Linked DNA regions of Mus musculus: all the other regions are reported to be linked to region 1. The links are microRNA targets in miRTarBase. Many come from high-throughput screens and were not tested one by one. Region 1 holds a microRNA gene; each other region holds the end of a gene's coding sequence. Distances are from middle to middle.

Region 1 (7,120 bases):
CATGGTAATTTAATGAAATTTAATGTTCAAGGTAGAAAAAGAGGAAAAGAAAAACATTTTTAAAATGAGGAAAATTTAAACCCATTTTAATTACTCCATCTACCAGATGCTACAGGGCGCAGCCAGAGTTTCCTTTCCAGGTGATACTGGACAGTCACCTTAGAGCGCTTGCTCTGTGACAACTACTGTGTAGTGCTTACTATACAGATTATGTTTAGCACGATGCTAAACATTTACATATTTTATCTCACAACACTCTAATAGGGATTATTACCATTACCTTGAATGTAGCAGGCGATCCAAAGATATTTGCATCCTTTATTCATTTCTTTTCCTTTTCCTTTTCCTTTTCCTCCTCCTCCTCCTCCTTCTTCTCCTCTTTTCTCTTCCTTCCTTCCTTTCTCTCTCTCTCTCTCTCTCTCTCTCTCTCTCTCTCTCTCTCTCTCTCTCTCTCTCTCTCTTTCATTTTGATAGGGTCTCATTTTATAGCCCTGGCTGGCCTCACACTCACAGAAACCCTCCTGCTGGGTCTAAGGGCAGTGGTACCACAGCCACAGGTGTTTGCATCCTTATCCCAGGGGAGCGTGATTATGTCATGTTACTTGTTATATGACATAGGAAATATAAGGTTGCAAATAAATATAAGTTTAAGGTTGACCTTAAAATAGAAAATATAAGGTTGCAAATAGATGTAAGTTTGATATTTGGTTGACCTTAAAATGTGGAGATTATCCACAATGTCCCTATCTGGGTTCAACATGATCTCCAGGGTAAAGGAACTGGAGTAGAGGAGTCGGTGTCAGAGGGCTGAGACATGGGGAAGAGTTGTCTCCATTGCCGGCCACACACTGAGGAAATGTGAGCAGCCTCTAACTGATTGGGATTCACTCCAGGAGTTCTTAGAAGGAAATAGAGTGAGTACTGCAGATATCTCCATGTACTGCAGATATCTCCATGTTAGCTCAATAATGGCTGCGAGCCCCGATGGTGGCTAACATGGTGATGTCAAGAGAATCTTGAGTTACGGGGGATGACTCTTAATTATCCAGGTGACCCGATCCCAGCATAAGCACAAAGTTCCTTCCTTTAAAGACTCAGGAGGGTCAGAGTGGGAGAAGAAACGATAAAAACAGAGATCAGAACTCTGTACCACCCAGCCTTGCAATGGATCCAAGAGGCATTCTGGAAAGATAAATAGGTGGGTTGTCCTTGGAGGGAGTGAGTCCTGACCCTTTTCTTACACAGCAAAACCCACTTTGGTCCTCTAGTACCAGTTCTTGTAAGATACAAAGTAGTGCTACTTCAAGCCTATACATTTGTGTGCTTTCAATAGGCCACAGAAGACCAACTTACTTAGTTTAGAGCCAATGTAGACCTAGCTGGTGATGAAGATGAGATTTCCCAGAGCCCATTTCCTGGGTCACTGGGACACACTCCTGCATAGATGGAGGTTCCCATGACATGCATATCCACAAGTGCAAACCTCTCCTTAGTCAGCACCACTATGACACATCTGCGCCCCAATGAATACAAAGCCACTAGTGTATTTTATGTGATAGGTTTCACGTTGCTAGGTTGTTTCCAGTGTTTGTTTCAATGGTACAAAACGCAAGCGATGGACTTCTTTTTAAGTAATAGTGTTTTTTTTTTTTTAAAGAGACACTCATAGAATGAGAGAAGCTGGATAAAAAAAGAGTGTACTGTGAAAAATAGCCAAAGCATCCTCCAAAAAGATTGCAATGAAACGTAATTTAAAACAAAGACAACTAGAATTGGAATGAGTTGCTTCTGCTTCTACAACGCTCTTGGTATTAATCCATTTTCATATCTAAGATCCACACTCAACATAATTATGCTCTTGTCTTTAGCTATATTATCCCTTTCTTCTGTAGAATCGTAGTTAGAGAGGGGATTCAGAAATCACCTCAAGCGACCTTTTACCTTCAAGTTACAGGTAGAAGCCGAGAGGCTGGTGAGAGTGAACAGATTTACCTGGGCTCATCTAGTGGGAATGCCTGGAGGACCCACATGCCCCACTCAGGTTCAGAGCCTACCTCCATCAGCTGCAGGGGTCACCAAGGTAGCCCCTAGGCAGATGCTTATTCATCTGTTCTCCCCTTTGAAATTACGCGAGAAATCTGCTGTCTTTTTAAACAGAGGCATATTGGGGGACAGAAGGATAATACGAGGCCAGATAGCCAATACTAAAAGATAAACTCTATGCTTGTCCAAGCAAGCCTATTTTCTTTTGCTCAGTGTGAAATGCGGCAAACCTATGGCTGAGAATAATTCCAGATCGCCTAGTGTTTTACATAAGAGTTCTCACATGAATGGATAACAGGGCATCTGCGATTGTCACCTTTTGTTTTTCCTAACTTGGTTCTGGTACACCTCATGAGCTTGGCCTCTGATGTCCACAAACGCGTAGGCCAACCCCCTCCCTGTCCACGAAGCAAACAATGAAATAGGAAAACGCATTGCCATTCTCTGACTGACCTCAATCGCTGAGGGTGGACCCGGCGCGTTACATCAGCTGGCTGGCTCCATTACACTGCCCTGCGCTGTGCTTGAGCTACTGAAATATTGATTTTTTTTTTAACAGAGCGGCGCGCACACACACTGAAAAAAAAAGAAAAATCAATATTCCAGCTCACACAACAGAACCTGCGGCAGAGCCCGGACCAACTCTGAGGCCCAGAGAGCACCGCTGACAGACCTTGGCAGAGCAGGGGGGTGGGAGGCTCTAGGAGACAATGCCTGGTGGAGCCCCCCACCCCCACACCCGGAAGGGTCAGATAAACACGCAAGTGTGCAAGTGGAAAGATCCCTAAGGATAAACAGTTGGAAGGAGCAAGGATTTATCTTTCCATAGGGGGATGGGGGAGAAGGGACGAGTAAATTAAGAAGACAGGAGGGGAAGAAGTTTCCAGGTAAGAATCTTCCCATGAAAATGTACCTTTCATTTTCCGTATCATCCAGCCACACTTAAGATGGAAAAAAGAAATGATACAGACGTTTTATCACAAAGAAAAACCAGGCCTGTTCTGAGAAATATCTGTGTTTTAAAAGATGCAGCTCGGTGGCCAGAGGCTGTGGTTTTCACCATAACCTGGGCTCTACCTGTACATTGACATTGCTGTCTTCTCTTTGGGGAGGGTGGAGGGAAGGAAGCCATCTAGTCATGTGGCCTCTCATCAATCCCTTTCTTCTACAAAGCACGCCTTCCTTCATGCCCTCCTCCATGCGTGCTTGGGGAACCACTGACAGATCGTGGATATGGACAATTCTGAGCACCTTGAGTTATACCTCCTTCGGATGCAGGAGACCTTGACTCCAGGTTCCACGCTCCACCCCCCCCCCACGCCCTCCACCCCCGTGCCTAATGTCCAGCAGGGGTCAGGACAGACAGACCGACCTTTGGGTTTGTCCCTGTAGGCGGTACAAAAGAAATTGCTATTTTTGATACTTTCAGGTAGCTGTTGGCCTTTTCTTACTTACAGTGGGCAATGGGCAGCTAATTCAAAAGGATGGCTTTTTAACTTTGATGAATTCTTGATTTAGCTTTGTTCTAGAATTCTCTTACCGAGAATTCCTCTCTCAGTTCTTGTAACACTCAGCCCCGGGGGAGGAGCCAAAGTGTCCTCCTCAAGGTTTCCATTTCTCACTCTGCTTAGGTGGCAGCCTCGTCTTCCCCAACCCAGCAGAGACCCAGACCCGAACTGGGCTCTGGCCTGGCCTAGCGGAAGGGGCTGCGGGCAAAGCTGTGTTCAGCGTCTTGCACACGGGCAGGATGGAGACCACGTCTACCCAGCCTGCCCACAAAGGGCTGAACCCAGAGGCCGGGTGGAGCCGGACTAGGAGCCAGGTGACCACCTGGAGTGCCGCACCCCGCCCGGCTCAGGCTCCGCCCCCACCCCGCCCCTCTGCCTGCCGGCTCCGCCCCCTTCCTCCTGGGGCCCCTTCGTCGTTTATTTGCATAAGGAGGCGGTTCCCCGCCCCGCCCAGCGCGCACGTGACCCTGAGGAGGCGGAGGGAACCTGCTGACTTGACACGAGCCGTTTTGCGGCTCCCCTTGGCGCGGAATAGCAAGAGCAGCCGTGACCTCCGACCCCGCCCGCCGGCAGCCAATAAGAGCGCAGGTCGTCTCCAAACCCAAAATTTCCACGTCGGCAAAAGTCAAGATGGAAGGGAGCGGAGCGGAGCGCCCACTGGAAGCCTAGCTCAGCGGCCCGGGGCGCAGAGGGCCGGGCTGCGGCGTGCGGGGGGCCTTTGGGAGGGCGGCCAGGCCAGACAGGCCGATGCAACCCCCGGCCGCAGCTTCGGAGCTCTGGCCCCGCGTTCTGTCGGCCACGCGCACCAACCGGGCAGGATGGGGACTGCGCTCTGCGGACCTGTTGCACGCGCGCAACAGCTGCTTGCGCGCAGTGTGTGGGGAGGCGTGCGGGACCCCGCACGGTGGTCCGGGCTGGATGGGCTAGGGGCGCCGGGCCTGTGTCGTGGACTGCATGCAGATCGGCTGCGGAGGCGCTGCCTCAGCAGGCAGAGGGAAACCGGGAGAGTGGGTGGGTGGCACCGAGGGGCCAGGGCTGCGTGGACGCGGATTCCCAGACTGTGCGCGGGCAGCTGGATAACCGGAGTAGTGTGGTGAGAATGGCTGGGGGAAGGGGAGGCCGCGAAAAGCCTGGCTTTCCCGGGACGTCCCATCTGCGGGGAAACTGGCTTGTGTTCGCCGGCTTTGACTCCCTGCTCCAGGAATTCGTTCTCATGAGGTCCTCCCCGCCCTCACCAACTTTCCAGATGGAAAGGTAAAAAGTTACCGCAACTTAGATTGAGTGAATTAGCTTCTTGCCAAAGTTTAGTAACAGGACCGGAGGAGGTGGGGGCTGGACCGGCAATGGATTCTTGTGTAGAGTAGGTAGGAAGGAGGGGGCATTGTGTGATTCCACTGGTCCGTTTGCTGTGACATTGCCACCAGAGTCTCTTAGGACACCCTTTCTACTGGATTTTTACTCCTGCTGACTGTGGCAGTAATTTTCCATAATTAACTATCCGTACCACTATTGGTCTCATCCTGGACTAAATTGCTTCTAATGAGTTATTCTTCTTTGCCTTCACTGGGGGCGAGGCGGGATGGCAGGGAGCACACCTGCAGGACGAAACTTCCAGAGGAAGACAGCCAGTTTGGTCTTTTGAGACAAAGTTCTGAGACACTCCGACTCTGAGTATGATAGAAGTCAGTGCACTACAGAACTTTGTCTCTAGAGGCTGTGGTCGCCGCCTCCCCGCAAGGGCCCTGGACGCCAAGCTGGTGGCCCTGTTGGCCACGTCGTTGCACCTTTCCTTTGGGGGAAGGGCAGCCCAGAGGGGGCACAAGGGCTTTGTGAAGAACCTGAAAAACTCCTTTAAAGTCAATGGGTTAGATCACATAAAGTAACTACCCCCCCCCATTTTTCTTCTTACCCTGGTGGACTGATTGCATATTTTTCAAGGTTATTTTTAAAATACTAAAATAGTCTGGCTTCACTTATTGAGCAAGGAGAGAAGGACCACAAGTTTATTGATGAGTGTGTTGGTATGTTCAAACTGTACCCTAAGAGAAGGAAATGCACTTGTGCCAAAGCCACAGGTAATGTGCCTTTTACTCAAATGCCCTGTTAGATAAATGAACCTGCAAGGATTGGGTTTGGATTTAGTTTCAGTTCTGAGTTTGATTTAGGCCCATCTCATTTTCCTTTTTTCTTTTCTTTTTTTTTTTTTGGGGGGGGGGTTGTTAATGGAAAGGAAGTACCTTTTCTAAGAAGGCATTTTGACAGTCATTTATGAGGTCAGTGTTTATACTTTGGAGCTGTGAGATACTGTACAGAGAAACTGCTCTCCTGGACCCTAATGGAATGTGGGTTGTGGCTGGCAGTTGCAGTTAATAGTGCGCTCTACAGTGGGCAGTGACTGGCATTGAACTGTATCCTGCTCCCGGGTCATTGCCCTATTTTGATGTTTATGGGTGTGGCTGGAGAGCGAATAGAGTCAAGGGATTACAAAACCGTCATTAACAAAGGCGCTAACCTGACACATGTATGTCAAGCTGTGACACCTAGTGATGAGCAAAAAGGAATGAAGCCTTCTTTGTTGCTTAGGGACAGCTCAGTCCTGGCAACGTTTGTAGAATGCTTCAGAAGCCCCGAGGTCTCCTGGAGTGTGACTCTGGGAAGTCTTGATCTAAAAAATGAAAATCCACCGCCTTTACTTCTGAGCACATTCCTATTGGAGTAGAGATAATGGGGAAGGGCCAATGGGAAAGTATTGGAGGAAGGACTTGCCAGTTGGCGGCACCTGTCTGGACCCCTAGCCAGGCGCTCTTCTGAGATTGTTAGCTACACCCAGTCTCCTTTCTTCCCACCAGTGACTGTTGAGCTTCATTGCTTCAACTCTCTGCCCAAAAGGTAGCTTAATCTTATTTTTGCAGTTGAATAAAGTGATCCAAATTCGGGTTCTTTTTGTTTTCATTTAAGATATAAGGTAAGCTTCCTGGTGAGGAGGGTTTCTTTCCTGATTTTTGTGAATGAATGTGTTCACAAAATACTATGAAACTACTAATTCTCACAATAGGCAGAACCAACTTTGTATGAGAATGCAGTGGCCCTTTGAGCAGATAAGGTGAAGTATCTGGGAGAGTAGCCATCCATGCAAAGGATTAGGTCAGGACTCTACCTTCAAGAAAGAGCCAGGTTTGGAATCCCTCACTTGGGTTCACCTGGTTTGACCTCATTATAAAAATGATTTGGTGAAAACTCTTGCTTTGGCCATGAGCGGGTTAAAGGGCCAGCCAGGAAGGAAGGCTTTGTGGCTTATCCTAGTGGTGTGCATGCTGGGAGTAGGGTCGAGGAAAACCAGCAGGCTGGGTGTGCTCTGAAGCTGGCATACTCCCACTGACTTTAGATATTGAGCAACCAGAGCCTTGTTACCAACTGAGCATCAGGTGTTAGATGCCAGGGTACAGCTGTGAGCAAAATCGGCTGACATCCGGTTCATTCTGGAGTCCATTCTCATGTTAGCGGTTGGCAATGCCACCATCATCAGGAAGGGTGTTAAGCATGACTGGGAAGAGGGAACAGCCTTTGGG
Region 2 (7,120 bases), not on the chromosome of region 1:
CTTTTGCACCTCAAGACCCACCCAAGCCATACACCCCCTCCAAAAAGGCTACATCTTCGAATCCACCAACTGTAGACCAAACATGCAAACACATGAGCCCATGGGAGATATTTTCCACTCAAATCACCAGAGCCTTTCTTTATGGAAGAAAGGGGGTTATTTGGGCATATGTCCCAGAAGGCTAAGAGTCCATCATGGTGGGGAGACATGCAGCAGGCATGGCAGGAGTGTGAAGCTGAAGATACACATCTTGAACCAGAGTTGAAGCACAGAGAGCAAATTGTGAACAGGGATAGGTCTTACACTCTCAAAGCCCTTCCTAGATCACACCTCCTAAGCTTCCACGAGGAGCATGACCAACTGGAGACCAAATAATTAAACACATGAGCTTAGGGGGAAACACTGTTATTCAAAACACCATAACCACTGACCAACATCTTCAGCACAAAAATACTTATGTGGAAAAAAAATAACAATCAAGATTTTAAAATGGAAATTTCCATTAGGAAGAATTGGATATGAATTGAGTAGTTCAGGGCCTATGTCTTAGTTAGAGTTGGAAATGGTGAGGTAGAGACTGAGAATTTAAAGCCAGTCAGCTGGATGAGGTGGTCCATGAAGTGTGCATACACAGAGACAAAGCCAGGAGACCTCAGATCTCCCCAGGAGTTAGAGAGGAGAAACAACGGAGGATTCAGCTGGCGCTCTCTGAGGAAAGCTGGAGTGGTTGATACCCGAGGAGCGGGTGCTTCCTGGAGGCCAGCGACGAGCAGAGAAGTTGGCTGCTGAGTTTTGCAAGGACAAGGCAGGCAAGTCCTTCATAATTCCTGCTTCACAGAAAAGTCTGTCAGGTATTCTGGGCCAGAAGGCCCAAGAAGATATTCCAATGACTCAGAGAACTTTGTGGGTGACTGTCTAGACACCCAGCTTTCTGGACATTTTATATGTCATTTTTATAGTTTTAAAGGTGCTTGCCTGCACTTCCTGCATATTCAGGCAATATTTCTTCCTTCTCAGGTCTGTGGTGAGGCTGAGAATGAAATAGTGACAGTCTTACACTTAAGCTTAAGTTGTGCAGGATTAAGGTCTAAGGTCCAAGATGTTCTTAGGTTGGTAATGCAACCAATTTCTTATGATAGAAATTTATTTAGGGACAGAATTCTGAATTTGCCAAGATAGGATAGGTAGCAGAATACTTCCTCCAAGGTTGCCAAACCCATATGAACTGGAGATTATGAATGTAATCTTACCTGGTGGTTCTCACAATTGTTATTATTGTTTATAGCTTATTATTGTAAGATAAAGAGTCTTTTATTGGACTAAAAGGAGAAAATGTAAAGATAATATATTATGTACAGTATGGAAGTATCAACTGTTAATAAAGAGCAGAAGGCCTATTAGCTAAGGCAGGTAAAAGGAGGTGGAGTCCTGGTAAAGAAAGAGGATCTCTGGGATAGGGTCAGTCAAGGGAGATTCTCCCCAAACTCTAAGGACACAGACACATGAAACAGGAGAGGTAACCAGCCGTGCAGCATTTATAGAATAGAATAAATGGGTTAATTCAGTTATGGGCTAGTAGGGGAACAAGCATTTATTCATATGTACTTAAGTTTCAGAGTGGTTAATTCAGGAACTGGGGAGCAGGTGGACAACCTCGAGGTTACAGTTTAGTCCATTATTGTCATGGCGGTAAGCATAAAGGCACGCAGGCAGACATGGTGCTGGAGACGTAGCTGAGAGTTCTACATCTGGATCTGTAAGCTGCAGGAAGAGAGTGAGATGTTGAACCTAGCTTCTGAAACCTCAAAGCCCATACCCAGGGACACATTTCCTCCGACATGGCCACACCTCCTAATGCCACTTCATAAGCATTCAAATATAAGTCTATGAGGGCCATTCTCACTCAAACCACCACAGTTTACAAAAAATAAAAAATAAATTTAAAAAAAGAGCTTGGAAGTGAGTTAAATCTTCTAAGGATGTGCAGAGACTTTCAGAAAGGCAGTTGAAATTAGAGGTGATTTTGCTTATGTGGGCATGGTGAACGGATTTAGGAAGCAGGAGTAGACCGGTATACTTAGGATGTGCTCAGAAAGGGGAGTCTAGAATTTAACTAGTTCTTTGTTTAATTTTTTTCCCTTCATTTTTGAGATTATGATATAATTACAGCATTTCTCCCTGCTCTTTCCTCCCTCTAAAACTTCGCATATAAAAATTTCCATCTTTCCTTGTTTTCTCTCAAATTCATGGCTTCTTTTTGCATTGTTGTTACTTACATATATGTATATTTACATACATTATACATATATTGTTACATACATTATATACACCATACACATATACATTAAGCACACATACATTACATATATTATACATATGTTGTACACATATATGTATGTTTATATACATTATACATACAGTATACATATATTTATATACGTATATTTCTAAATGCAATCTTCTACTTCTGTAAAATGTTACTTATCCATATGTTTTTGTAATGCGTCCTGGACCCTAGCCTAACAAATGACATGTTGGAGGCACCATTCACACCTTATAACCCAAACATCTGCCAAAAGAGGAAAAAAAAACCCCAATCAATCAATCAAGACCTGGCCCATAGTTCCTGGATCCAAGAATCTCTAAATGTGCTAACTTGGCTTCTATAGTTCTGCTACTGTTAACTGTTCCTGCTAACTAACCTGTCATCCAGGATGTGGGGCTTGTGTTTAAAAGACAAAGGGCAGTGAGGACTGGGGCTGCATGATCTGGGCAAGGTCCCCATGCAGCCACTGGCTGGTGATAAAGACTTTCTTCTCAGTTTTAAGAGGGTCTATATGTGTTCTCTGGTCTGTGGAGAGCCGTGCCGTGAGCAATCGCCATTATAAGATGGCGCTGGCCTCCGCTGTGCCTAACTAGTAAACAAGCCTTGTACGCAGGTGCGAGAGTGAACTCACTCCTAGTCACTCCCATTCTCGGAGTGTAATAGTGGGGTGATGGGCGAACAACGAATCAGGAGCTGTCACGCCATAGCAGGTGCTGAAACTTCACGCTGCGGGCTATAAAAGCGGCGCCATTTTCCCGGTTAGGGGTCTTCCTGAAGAAGTAAGCAAAAAAGCTTTTGCCGCGGAAGATTCTGGTTTGTTGCGTCTTTCTTGCTGGTCGAGTGGGACACAATACTGGTCAACATTTTCAGGGCTGACCATTTGGTATTGGATGACCAACCTGTGTGCTCTTCGGTGGGGAAAACTGTTTCCCCCAATCTCAGTAACCCCTAGTTGCCTGTAGTTCTTTTCCTAGGGTTGGAGCCTCCTGGGCTTTCCCCGTTCAGTTTGGCATAGTCACTGCTGTCATTTTCATTAAGCTCAGACTAGGGCAGCCATGTTGTTTAGACTTTATGAGTATAGAAATTACCAGAAAACACAGTCTCAGAGCAAACTTCCTCATCTTCTGGCTCTTACAGTCTCTCCCCAGCCTTTTCTGCACTGTCTCCTGAAACTTAGGTCCAGGAGTTGTTGGGTAGATGTATTCATTGGGACTGGGCTCTACAAATCTATTCTTTCCATCTGATATGACAGGAAATGGACCAAGACCACTGAACCTCATTAAAATGTTTCCCTTTTTTCTTTTTCAGTGCTAGGGACCAAACCTAGGACCTTCCACACACTAGACCACTAAGCAGCCTCCCCAAGTCTTCCTCAATTTTATTTTGAGGCAATCTCTTTAGACTGCCCAGGCTAGCCTTGAACTTAGTGGGTACTTACTTGGTAAGGGTGTATGATAGAAGGGTAATCTTGGACTTGAGAACCTAGGAACCACACAGCTCTGAGGTCGGACAGTATCCCATGGGAAGAGTATCCTGATTACCCAGGCTGGCAAGTTCCTTTGTTAGAGCTAATGACTGCATTCTACTTTCCCCAAATTTCCCTGTGGTAAATATCTTCATGGTTTCTGTCTTTTCAGTGGACTCTGAAAAATATTAACACATCAAATCATCAAAAAGATAATCAATCCTTCTCAATAGAGATAGCTTAAGTTAATGCTTTAGTGTTAAACTTTTTTCCCCCAGTGCTAGAGATGTCACTGAGGACCTTGAAAATACTAAGCAGGCACATTATCTTTAAGCTACACCACAAGCTAGAATTTTGATATCAAGAATAGCAATAACACCAACTTTAGGTGTTTCTGCTCGGATGGAAGGTTATCCTGGGGTTTAGAAGCCTAGGAACCACATGGCTCCTGAAGGACGACAGTGTGGGACAGTGACCCATGGGAAGGGTATCCTGAGACATCAGAACTCGGAACTACAGAGCTCCGAGGAAGCCTTCTCAGCAGAGGCATTAGCGCTCCCAAGGGAGGGTATCTCCTACTGAGCTGAGGAGCTCAAGAGTCTGATCTCTGCTCCTTCTTCACTTCTTCTCTACTTTTTCTCTTCTTTGCTTGTTCTCTTCTCAGCTTCTTCCAACGAGAAAGTTGCTCCAGGCAGTGCATCTTATAAAAGATATTTATTGACAGTAATAATACAGGAGTGTGAGGGACAAAACTAGGGATGGCTGCTCTCTGCTCCCGGGAGTGGACAGACAGGGAATGGACAAAGGGGCAGTGCTTATATAGGATTTCTGAGGAGACTGGAGAGGAGGGTCTGCCACTGTACACAGTTCCTGCAGTGGTGCTTCACCAAGGTTGTAGGCTAAGGCAGGAAAGAAGATGTCGCTACCGCGGACAGCTCCCAAAGAGTAGCTCCTGCCGAGGAGGGAAAGATGTGTCACCATGGACAGCTCCATGGCATCTGTAGGCTTGAGATGCTGTGGTGCACGCTGAGATCTTATGGTTGACACCATTTCGACAGGAGCTGCCATTTTGGACAGCCCCTATGGAACATTTTACTGAGAGGGTCATAGGCTGGTGCGGGAAGGAAGGACCTGCCACCTCTTTGATGGCTTTTGTGACTCATGGCTCAGGAACTATACAGACAAAACAAAAATAGTCCAGAAGGAATGAAAAGTAAGAATGCCTCCCATATAACTTCCTACACACAACCAATGCTTTCTTCTTTTTTTTTTAAGTTAAAAACTTATTTTCAGAACTATTTTCACTCAGATTAATGGAGGCATAATTAGCAAATAATAAAAAAGCATGCATATTTGAGGTATGCCAGGCAGGTGCAAAGTGATGTTTCAATATATAGTATTATGTAATAAATTACTATCATAATTAAGTAAATTAATTGTGTCAGTCAGTATTTTATTGCTGTGAAGAGACACTGTGACCATGATGACTCTTATACAAGAGCACATTTAACCAGGGCTGGCTTACAGCTTCAGAAGTTTAGTTCATTATTACTGTGGTAGAGAATATGCCTGCATGCAGGTAGTCATGGTACTTGGCAGGTAGCTGAGAGTTCTACATCTGGATTGGAAGGAAGGCAGCATGGAGGGAGGGAGGGAGGGAGGGAGGGAGGGAGGGAGGAGAGAGAGAGAGAGAGAGAGAGAGAGAGAGAGAGAGAGAGAGAGAGAGAGAGACTGGGCCTGGCCTGAGCACTTGAAATTCAAAGCCTACTACCAGGGACACAAGATCTCCAACAAGTTAATAGCTACTCCAACAAGGCCATACCTCCTAAGAACATCACTCCCAAATGACCAACCATCCACACATTTGAGACTATGGTGGCCATTCCTATTCAAACAAGAAGTCCTTAATAGTTAGAACCATATATACCAAAGACCATGAATTTCTTTCTTTTTTAAGATTTTATTTCTTTATTCTATGTAAGTACACTGTAGCCATCTTTAGACACCCCAGAACAGGGCATCAGATCTCATTACAGATGGTTGTGAGCCACCGTGTGGTTGCTGGGATTTGAACTCAGGACCTTCAGAAGAGCAGTCAGTGCTCTTAACCACTGAGCCATCTCTCCAGCCTGACCATGAGTTTCTAAGAAAATCACAAGGCCATTACAGTACATGCAAAATTATCAAAAACTCTCATAAACAAAAGCAGTTTTCTCTAAGCCCAATATCCCCCCACCCATTGGCAATAGATGCACAACCACATCAAGGCTAATGAATACGCAAAAGTGCTGCAAAGACTAAAGAGCATCTCCTGGAGAGAGAGTCAGCTGCAGCCATGATAAAGTCAACACATGCTTCCTCATGTACAAGGCTGATTCAATCTATAAACAGACCATGTATATCCTCCACCCAGTGCTCCTATGATGTCTTGGCTTTACATAGATCAATGTTCCTTTCACCAGCCCTTTCCTGTTGACCTTGGTATTGGAAGGTTCCTTGTATGAACTTGAAGGAAACTCTAGTCTTTAGACAGGAGAAATATACAAGGACTAAAAAGGCACTGTTCATTGTAGCTCAGTGATGAGCATGTAGATTTTCAAAAAAAATTATCAGCCTTCGGATAGATGGATCAGGGTTTAAGAGCACCTGTAGCTTTTACTGAGGATAAAGGTTTGGTGACCAGCACCCAAATGGAGACTCTTAACTATCTATAACTCCAGACCCAGGAGGGCCCAACATACTTTTCTGACCTCAGCTAGAATTTTAGGAGTTTTAGATATTCTGAACTGTCAGTAGTCTTCAGGAGCATCCTTTACTCCAGGATAACAGGAGAGAATGGGACTATCAATTTCCAGAAGATAATCAAGCGTTTAGACTGGGGATGTCTTTCCTTCACATCATTAATCACTTTCATGTCCTCTTCATCCAGGAGCCAACTGAGCATGTGCAGTCTGATGAGGCTGGGCAGTCGGGACACACATTGACCCAGAGCCTTGACAGTGGTGGCCTGAACTTGAATGCGTCCTGGGATATTCCTGCAGATGTTCAGCTCTTGTAGGTTTGGCAAGTTGTCCAGGGCTTGAAAGAAATTTCTATATCCTTCCTCGGTAATCTTGTGATTCATGGAAATATCTAAGTTCTCAAGTTTCTGGAAACCTCCACTGGTTGCCGCCCTGGCTGAAAACAAAACACGTATGAAAACACAATCAAGAGGACTTCAATAATGCTCACAAGTTATTGGAACTACTCCCAAACCCCTACAATGAAGGTTGGAATTCTCTACATGATGTTTTAGAGATCAAACCTTGAAAGCATCAAACAGCAGCCTG
Region 3 (7,120 bases), 74 Mb from region 1:
CGCCACTTTCAAGAATGTCAGTGTTTTGAGTAATGTGGCTATGAGGATCAACTACAGGATTTATTATGGCTTCTTCAGCCTCTGATGGGCTGAATTCCTAATCACTGCAGAAGCCTCTTTATTCCTACACAAAAGGAACTATTACCAAGCCAATTTCTGAATATCAAAACCCCCTCTGACCTAGGAGCTGTCTGAAGGAACCATTACCTAAGCAATTCTCAGCCAAACAAGGCTTCCTAGTTTGCCAAGTATGTCTCAGGACTAAGTTATGCAAAGGCTCTGTGCATCCTCTGGAAGGACCACTCAGAACACCTCAGATAACAAGCACTGACTATTTATTTACAAAAGCCTATATGTTATCACTCGGGAATTCATGCCAGATAAATTTCTGCTACACCAGTGTTATAATCTGTTTCTATTAACTGATTTCCGGCTGTTCGGAAACCCTGTGCTCTCTGACTAGCATTTACCACGTCCATCGTGTCTCCACACAATCCCCAGAGAACCCGGTATGGGCTAAAGCCACTCCCCAGCCCTTATTCCACCCAAGGAGCAGCAACTAAACCAGGTCTGCTTCTGTAGACATGTCTATTCCCCACATTTCAGTGAGACAGAATCATATAGGATTTGGCACTTTATGACTGATTCTTTGATCTAACATGGTGTTTGTTTGTTTTTGTTTTTTGCTTTTTGTTTTCAAGACAGGCTCTGTGTAGCTGTGTGTTCCTGGCTGTCCTGGAACTCACTCTGTAGACCAGGCTGGCCTTGAATTCAGAGATCCACCTGCCTCTGCCTCCCAAGTGCTGGGATTAAAGGCATGCACCACCACTGCCTGCCCATCTAACATGTTTTAAATATTCATCTGAATGTGGCATGTATGGGTACTTCATTCCTTTAGTAATTGAATAATAATTCACTGTACAACTGTTCAAAATCTTGGTTACTTTTTTTTTTAAATCAATTGCTGGACATTTGTCCTTTTAAAACATTAATTTATTTGGGGGGCAGGCATGCACATATGGAAATGAGATCAGTTTGCAAGAGTTGGTTCTCTCCTTCTTCCATGAGGGATTAATTAGTTCCAGGGACCAAACTCAGGCGTCCTTCAGACTCACTATGTATCTGAAGAAGGCCTGGAACTCCTGATCCTCCTGCTCTACCTCCTAGGCACCTGGCCCACGGGGCTCTGCTAGCAGGTAGGCATTGGTTTGGTTGGGTTCCTCTTGTGGCCACCATAATGGCCTGCACTAGCATGGCCCTTTCTGCTCTTGTGGAACAGACACGCTTCCATTCTCTTGGGTGACACCTCTGAGTGACATTACCGATCCATACGTAACTCTGTGTTTAGCTTTTTGGGCAGCTGTGGATTTCCCAAAGTGGCTAGATCATTTTACTAAATGTAGGTTTCCTCGTGCTCTGACTCTTAACTTCTCAGCTTATCTTTAGGCACACAAAGTAGTTCCACTAACAAATACTACTTGTAGCCTTGCTGTGTGCTGGCTCCATGCTATTTCTCACATCTGTGCCATTTTGCTCTGCATCATTTGCCTGAAAAAAAAAAAATTGTTACCTCCCTCTGCACCCCCTCCCCACTTTTAACATTCCTTTAGGATAAATTAGTGGTGATCTGATCACCTACAGGAAGCCTTCCCTGCCCTCTACCTGCTCCCCTGGGGTTGGTTAGGGACTCCTTCCTGCCTGTGTCTATATAGTCATTTCCCATTGAATTCCTAGCACTGACCCTTTCCAAGACCTACTTCAAGCACTTCAATCCACAGTCACACACACACACACACACACACACACACACACACACACACACACACACACACACACGTGCATGCATGTGCACACACAATTTTCTCACCCCCTTTTAAAAACAAACAAACAAAACAAAAACAAAAACCTCATGTGGGACTGGAAAGCTGGCTCAGTGGTTAAGAGCTGCTCTACCAGAGATCCTAAATTCAATTACCAGGAGCCACATGGTGACTCATAATCATCTATAATGAGATCTGGTGCTCTCTTCTGGTGTGCAGGCCTACGTGTAGGCAGAACACTGTGTACACAGTAAATGGATAAACCTAAAAACAAAAACTCATGCTGCAACAATATTTTTCCCACGCAATTACCGAATTCAGATATGCATCTTGTTTACATACGCACCCTGTACCTGACGGATGAAATCTTTTTACAGGCAGTGGTGTAGCCTTGGTTTGTGGTGTATATGCCTCCAAGGTCCTTCCACACAATGATTCAGTGTTTGTTGAAGGGAAATGTTGCATTCTTTTTCATTACAAAAACAATCCAGCTCTGTGCTTGAAAAATAAGACTTTTTGTAACTGACAGCAGGAAGAATTTTATACGGGCTTCTGGGGCTGACTTGTTAGTTCCTTCTTCACTAACACTTGTGAGATTGTATTAAAACATTTTCCTCTTCCTTTTCTACCTTTCCCCCTCCTCTTTGGTTTCTCAAGACAGGGTTTGTGTGTGTGTGTGTGTGTGTGTGTGTGTGTGTGTGTGTGTGTGTGTGTGTAGCCTTGGCTGTGCTGAAACTTGTTCTGTAGACTAAGCTGACCTTGAGCTTATAGAGAAACACCTGCCTCTGCTACCCAAGTGCTGGGATTAAAGGGGTGACCACCGCGCTTCATGGCTTTTTTGTTTTTTCTTTTCTTTTTTTTTTTTTTAAAGATGGGATTTCACTGTGTAGCCAAGCCTGGAACTTGATATGTAGACCAGGCCTGCCTCTGTCTCCAGGGATCAGTCCTGGGTTCAAAGGTTTTTGCCTCCATGCCTGAAGACCTCAAGACTTCTTAGCCTCGTTTTATCAACCCTTGTTATTTAAATTTTGTCCTTTGGGATCAAGTCTCTAAGCAACCAAGCCCAAGAGAGGCTGAATAATAAGACCTTGTGCCAAAAGAACTTAGCTGGGGCTGTGGAGAGATGGCTCAGAGGTTACAAGCACTTGCTGTTCTTGCAGTGGCCCTGATTTGGTTCTCAAAAAAACAAAAACAACCCAAACTACCAATTGACTAAGTAGATGTGAGTGAAGATGTCTCAGGCGTGTTAGCCCACTGCTGAATATGGCCTCGTGACAGCAAACTAGATTAACCATCTGAAGAAGAAAACCCAGAGAAAATGATTTGAAGTTGTTTTAGTCATTGAGTTTAAGAATGGACTGTTACGTCATAAAAGATCATTGACACAGAACTTAGATTTAAATCAAATAGGATAACCACCCTAATTTTTCTACCTTCAGAGCTCACTTGAGTCTACAAGCAATTCATTTTCTTGGATTTGCAATACTTTTAACATTTTTAAATTTTATTCTACATCCCAACCACAGCTTCCCTCTCAACCACAGCTTCCCTCCCTCCATAGTCTCTCCCTGCCACTTTTCCTCCCCACACCCAGATCCCCACTCCCCTGTTCTCCCCAGGTCAGGCCTCAGTGGCTATCAACCAGCCATGGCATATCAAGTACAGTAAGACAAGGCACCTCTTCTATTAGGGCTGGGCAAGGCAGCCGGTTGTGGGGAAAGGGTCCTAAAGGCAGGCAGCAGAAGCAGGGGATAATCAGAGCTCCTACTCCTGCTGTTAGGACTCCTCCCAACCACAATGTGTGGAGGGCCTAGCTCAGTCCCATGCAAGCTCCCTGGTGGGCAGTTCAGTTTCTGTGAGCTCCTAAGGGCTCAGGTTAGTTGATTCTGTGGGTTTTCTTGTGATGTCCTTGACCCCTCTGGCTCCTACAGTCCCTCCCCCCACTCTTCCAAGAGAATCCCCAAGCTCTGCTTTGTTTGCCTGTGTGTCTCTGTAATACTTTTTTGTTTTGTTTTGTTTTTTTCAAGACAGGGTTTCTCTGTGTAGCTCTGGCTGTCCTGGAACTCACTCTGTAGACCAGGCTGGCCTCAAACTCAGAAATCCTCCTGCCTCTGTCTCCCAAGTGCTGGTTTTAAAGGCGTGCGTCACCACCGCCCGGCAATACTTTTTTATAAAAAGAAGTAGGTATTATATAGCCTTGGACATGGCCACTAAATATGAGGATTAAACAGTAGTTTGAAGCTGGATACAAGGACTCACACATATAATCTTGTCACTCTGGAGGTAGAGGCAGGAGGATGGGTCCCAGTTTGAGCTATAAGAGTTCCAGGCCAGCCTGAGCCTGACTTTGAGAGACTATAGGTTTTTGGTGTTTGTTTGTTTGTTTTTGTTTTTATGTTTGTTTTGTTTTTTCGAGACAGGATTTCTCTGTATAGCCGAACTCAGAAATCCACCTGCTTCTGCCTCCTGAGTGCTGGGATTAAAGGTGTGCACCACCACCGCCCGGCTTATTATTATTATTTCATGTTTTACATGCAATAATACATGCAGCTATGCCTGTGCACATGTGCATGCCTGTCTCCATGGGAAGCCCAGAAACTGGAAGTATAGTCAGCCTTGAGTCACCATGTGTGAGCTGGGAATTAACCTGGGCAACCTGCAAGAGCATCCCTGGGAGATGGCTGGAATCATCTCTCCAGCCCCAAGACTGTTTAAAAAAAAAAAAAAAATGCAAGAAAAATTCCCTGGATTACCTTTCTGTCATCTCCAGACTTCTCACTGAATTGATTTCAATTGAAACATAAATTCAAAAACCTGTGGAAAATGTGGTGGCTTAAGCCTTAGATCCAACACTAAGGTATTATCTCCATGAGTTCAAGGCTAGCCTGGTCTACATACTGAGTTCCAGGATAGCCAAGGCTACATAGAGAAAACCCTATCTCAAAAAACCAAAAGAAGTAAATGAAGAATGTCATAGCAAAACCTATTATTTTTGTAATATATACTAACAAAAGCAAAGTGCAGCAGAGGGTCTATAGCTCACTATAAAGTACTTGGTATATCCAAGACGCCAGCACTATGCCATATAGAAGAGTCTCTCAGGGAAGCCCACACTCATGCTCTCAAGTGTTTTACCTCTGAACACCTCTCTCATAGCCCTGATGCTCAAACCTGTATTAAAATATCTTTCTTTTTAAAAAAAGATTTATTTAATGTATGTGAGTACACTGTAGCTGTACAGATGGTTGTGAGGCTTCATGTGGTTGTTGGGAATTGAATTTAGGACCTCTGCTGCCTCAGTTGACCTTGCTCTCTCTGGTCAACTCCACTTGCTCTGGTCCAATGATCAAAGACTTTTTTATTATTAAAAATAAGTACACTGTGACTGACTTCAGATGCACCAGAAGAGGGCGTCAGATCTCATTATGGGTGGTTGTGAGCCACCATGTGGCTGCTGGGATTTGAACTCAGGACCTTCAGAAGAGCAGTCAGTGCCATCTCACCAGCCCTAAAATATCTTTCTTAAATGACATTTTTTTCCCCTAAAAAAAAAAAAAAAGCAAACAGGGTAGCACACACAGGGGTAATACTGGGTGTGATCTTTAACACTTCATAAAACTGGGCATGACTCAAGGTCAGCCTCCACAAAACTGCCCTATTCAAGAGGATGGGAAATGCTGTGGTACTCAGACAAGTTCCCTAACTTATAACTGATAAGAGCAGTACAAAGTGTAATTTCACTTTCCTAGTTCATTTTGGGGTGGCAGAGTCTTTAGAAATAGCAGCTACACTTCCAAGGGCCTGGGCGGCTAGTGGCAGAGTTCCCTAGAATGAGCAAGTCCCTGGGTTTCAGCTCCAAGATTACAAAAAAATAAGATAAAATAAATAAAAATAAATTCTTTAAAAACTTACACGAGGTGCCAGTGTCAGAAAGTGCCAGCAATAAATGATTGTTATAAAGGCCACAAGCATAACTGGGCTGTAAGTAATAGTAACAAAAGATCATGTGACTTAGGAACGAGGCAGACGTCAGAGTGCATGAGTAAATGTAGCACTGGGCATATCAGATTCCAAAGGAGCCCCATTTTTTTATTACATCGAGCACACAAAGCTCTCTCCTTGCTGGGATAAGTCCTGTTCCCCTTCTCCAGGGTGACACATTTCCCGTCCTATCTGTACTTCCCATGTCGGTTAAAGTGTTTGTAGAGATAGCTGATCCGTTTGTTAAGGTTATGCAGGTCCTCAATGAACATCCTGTTTCCCACAAATTTCTTCTTTCGGACACAACGCTGCAATTCATTTCCTCTCCAGCCTCGAAGCCATACTGGGCCCTTGATCAGTTCTTTTGGGTGCTTCTCGAAATTCCCTGTAACGTGACAGAATATATACTAGTTTCAAGAGAAGAGAAGTCAGCCTAGCCCAACTAGGCCTTCAACACAGTTTCATCTCCCTGATCAGAACTACTGACAGACAAGGCACACACCAGTCTAGTACAAGGGACAGAGTCTTTGTAACACTTGCTCTTCCAAAGGATTCCCCAGCACTCTCAACTGAAGGTTCACGACTGCCTGAAAGGGAAGTTCTAGGAAGTCACCCTGAACCTGCAGGCATTGCTTGAGCAGTACACGGTACACATTCAGAAAACACAAAAATCTTATTTAAAAAAGAAGAAAGAAAGAAAGGAGTAAAGACTTTGCAGCCAGAAATGTCTGGGTTCAAATACTGACACTCCCATTTACTCGCTTTGGCCCTCAGACCTGCCCACTACTGTGTTAGTGAGACTGAGTCCCGCACTCCTCACTATTCTCCGCATCTCAGACTGGTCTTGCCTGGCTTCATCTCCCGTGTAACAGGTTTGTGCCCCCAGGCTTGCCCCGGGCACATTACTATTCTCTCCACAAATAAAACCGAAAGAGTCAAGAGAGCATACTAATCCTTCAGAAACCAGGAATCGCGTCCTACCCAGGATTCCAATGTTGTCGTAGACGCCAAACAGAGCCCTCTTCTCGTTCCAGCGATCAACCACTTTGGGAGGTGGAAGAGTGAGCCTTACGAAGGCCAACCGTGGGACGCCTAGGGAAGGACAGAAGCATGAATCAGCACTGCCCAGTGACAAGCCGTTAGCCGGCCGTCCTACTACACTTAAGCCACTTACCCAGAGAGAAGCTTCGGCATGCCGAGGGCACCCAGCCCCACAGTCTCCTACTTGCCGCCCAAGGGACACTCCCTGCCATTACTCTAGCCTGTCCGCCTCAGTAGGGGCAGCAAACCAGCCGGAAAAATGGGGAGCGGGTGTGAAT

The links. The annotated mature microRNA mmu-miR-148a-3p reads UCAGUGCACUACAGAACUUUGU and lies in region 1 at 5,235-5,256, shown strand. An mRNA with a match to its seed (bases 2 to 7 or 8) in the 3' UTR can be bound and repressed. Matches are read on the target gene's strand: a 7mer-m8 pairs with bases 2 to 8, a 7mer-A1 pairs with bases 2 to 7 and ends in A, and an 8mer does both.
Region 2: the mRNA of Naip5 is a reported target of mmu-miR-148a-3p. Seed matches in the 3' UTR shown: 7mer-A1 at 5,887-5,893.
Region 3: the mRNA of Mrpl51 is a reported target of mmu-miR-148a-3p. Seed matches in the 3' UTR shown: 7mer-A1 at 5,309-5,315.

The regions. Positions count from the first base shown.
Region 1 is chr6:51,267,965-51,275,084 of GRCm38, reverse strand. It overlaps Mir148a (microRNA 148a), which reads left to right and starts at 5,175; the gene lies at 5,175-5,273. Gm38821 reads left to right here. Exons shown (of 4, transcript XM_011241556.1): 2 at 3,675-3,878; 3 at 4,133-4,805.
Region 2 is chr13:100,206,004-100,213,123 of GRCm38, forward strand. It overlaps Naip5 (NLR family, apoptosis inhibitory protein 5), which reads right to left. Exons shown (of 15, transcript NM_010870.2): 15 at 5,736-6,968. The coding sequence ends at 6,604. Among named protein-coding and RNA genes, the nearest start is that of Naip2, 7.4 kb to the left of the region's middle.
Region 3 is chr6:125,192,289-125,199,408 of GRCm38, reverse strand. It overlaps Mrpl51 (mitochondrial ribosomal protein L51), which reads right to left. Exons shown (of 3, transcript NM_025595.3): 1 at 6,976-7,120; 2 at 6,783-6,893; 3 at 5,017-6,186. The coding sequence starts at 7,054. The coding sequence ends at 5,990. Mir3098 (microRNA 3098) reads right to left here and starts at 3,617; the gene lies at 3,531-3,617. Gm52878 (a long non-coding RNA gene) reads right to left here and starts at 2,675. Exons shown (of 2, transcript XR_003956366.1): 1 at 2,167-2,675; 2 at 1-1,548.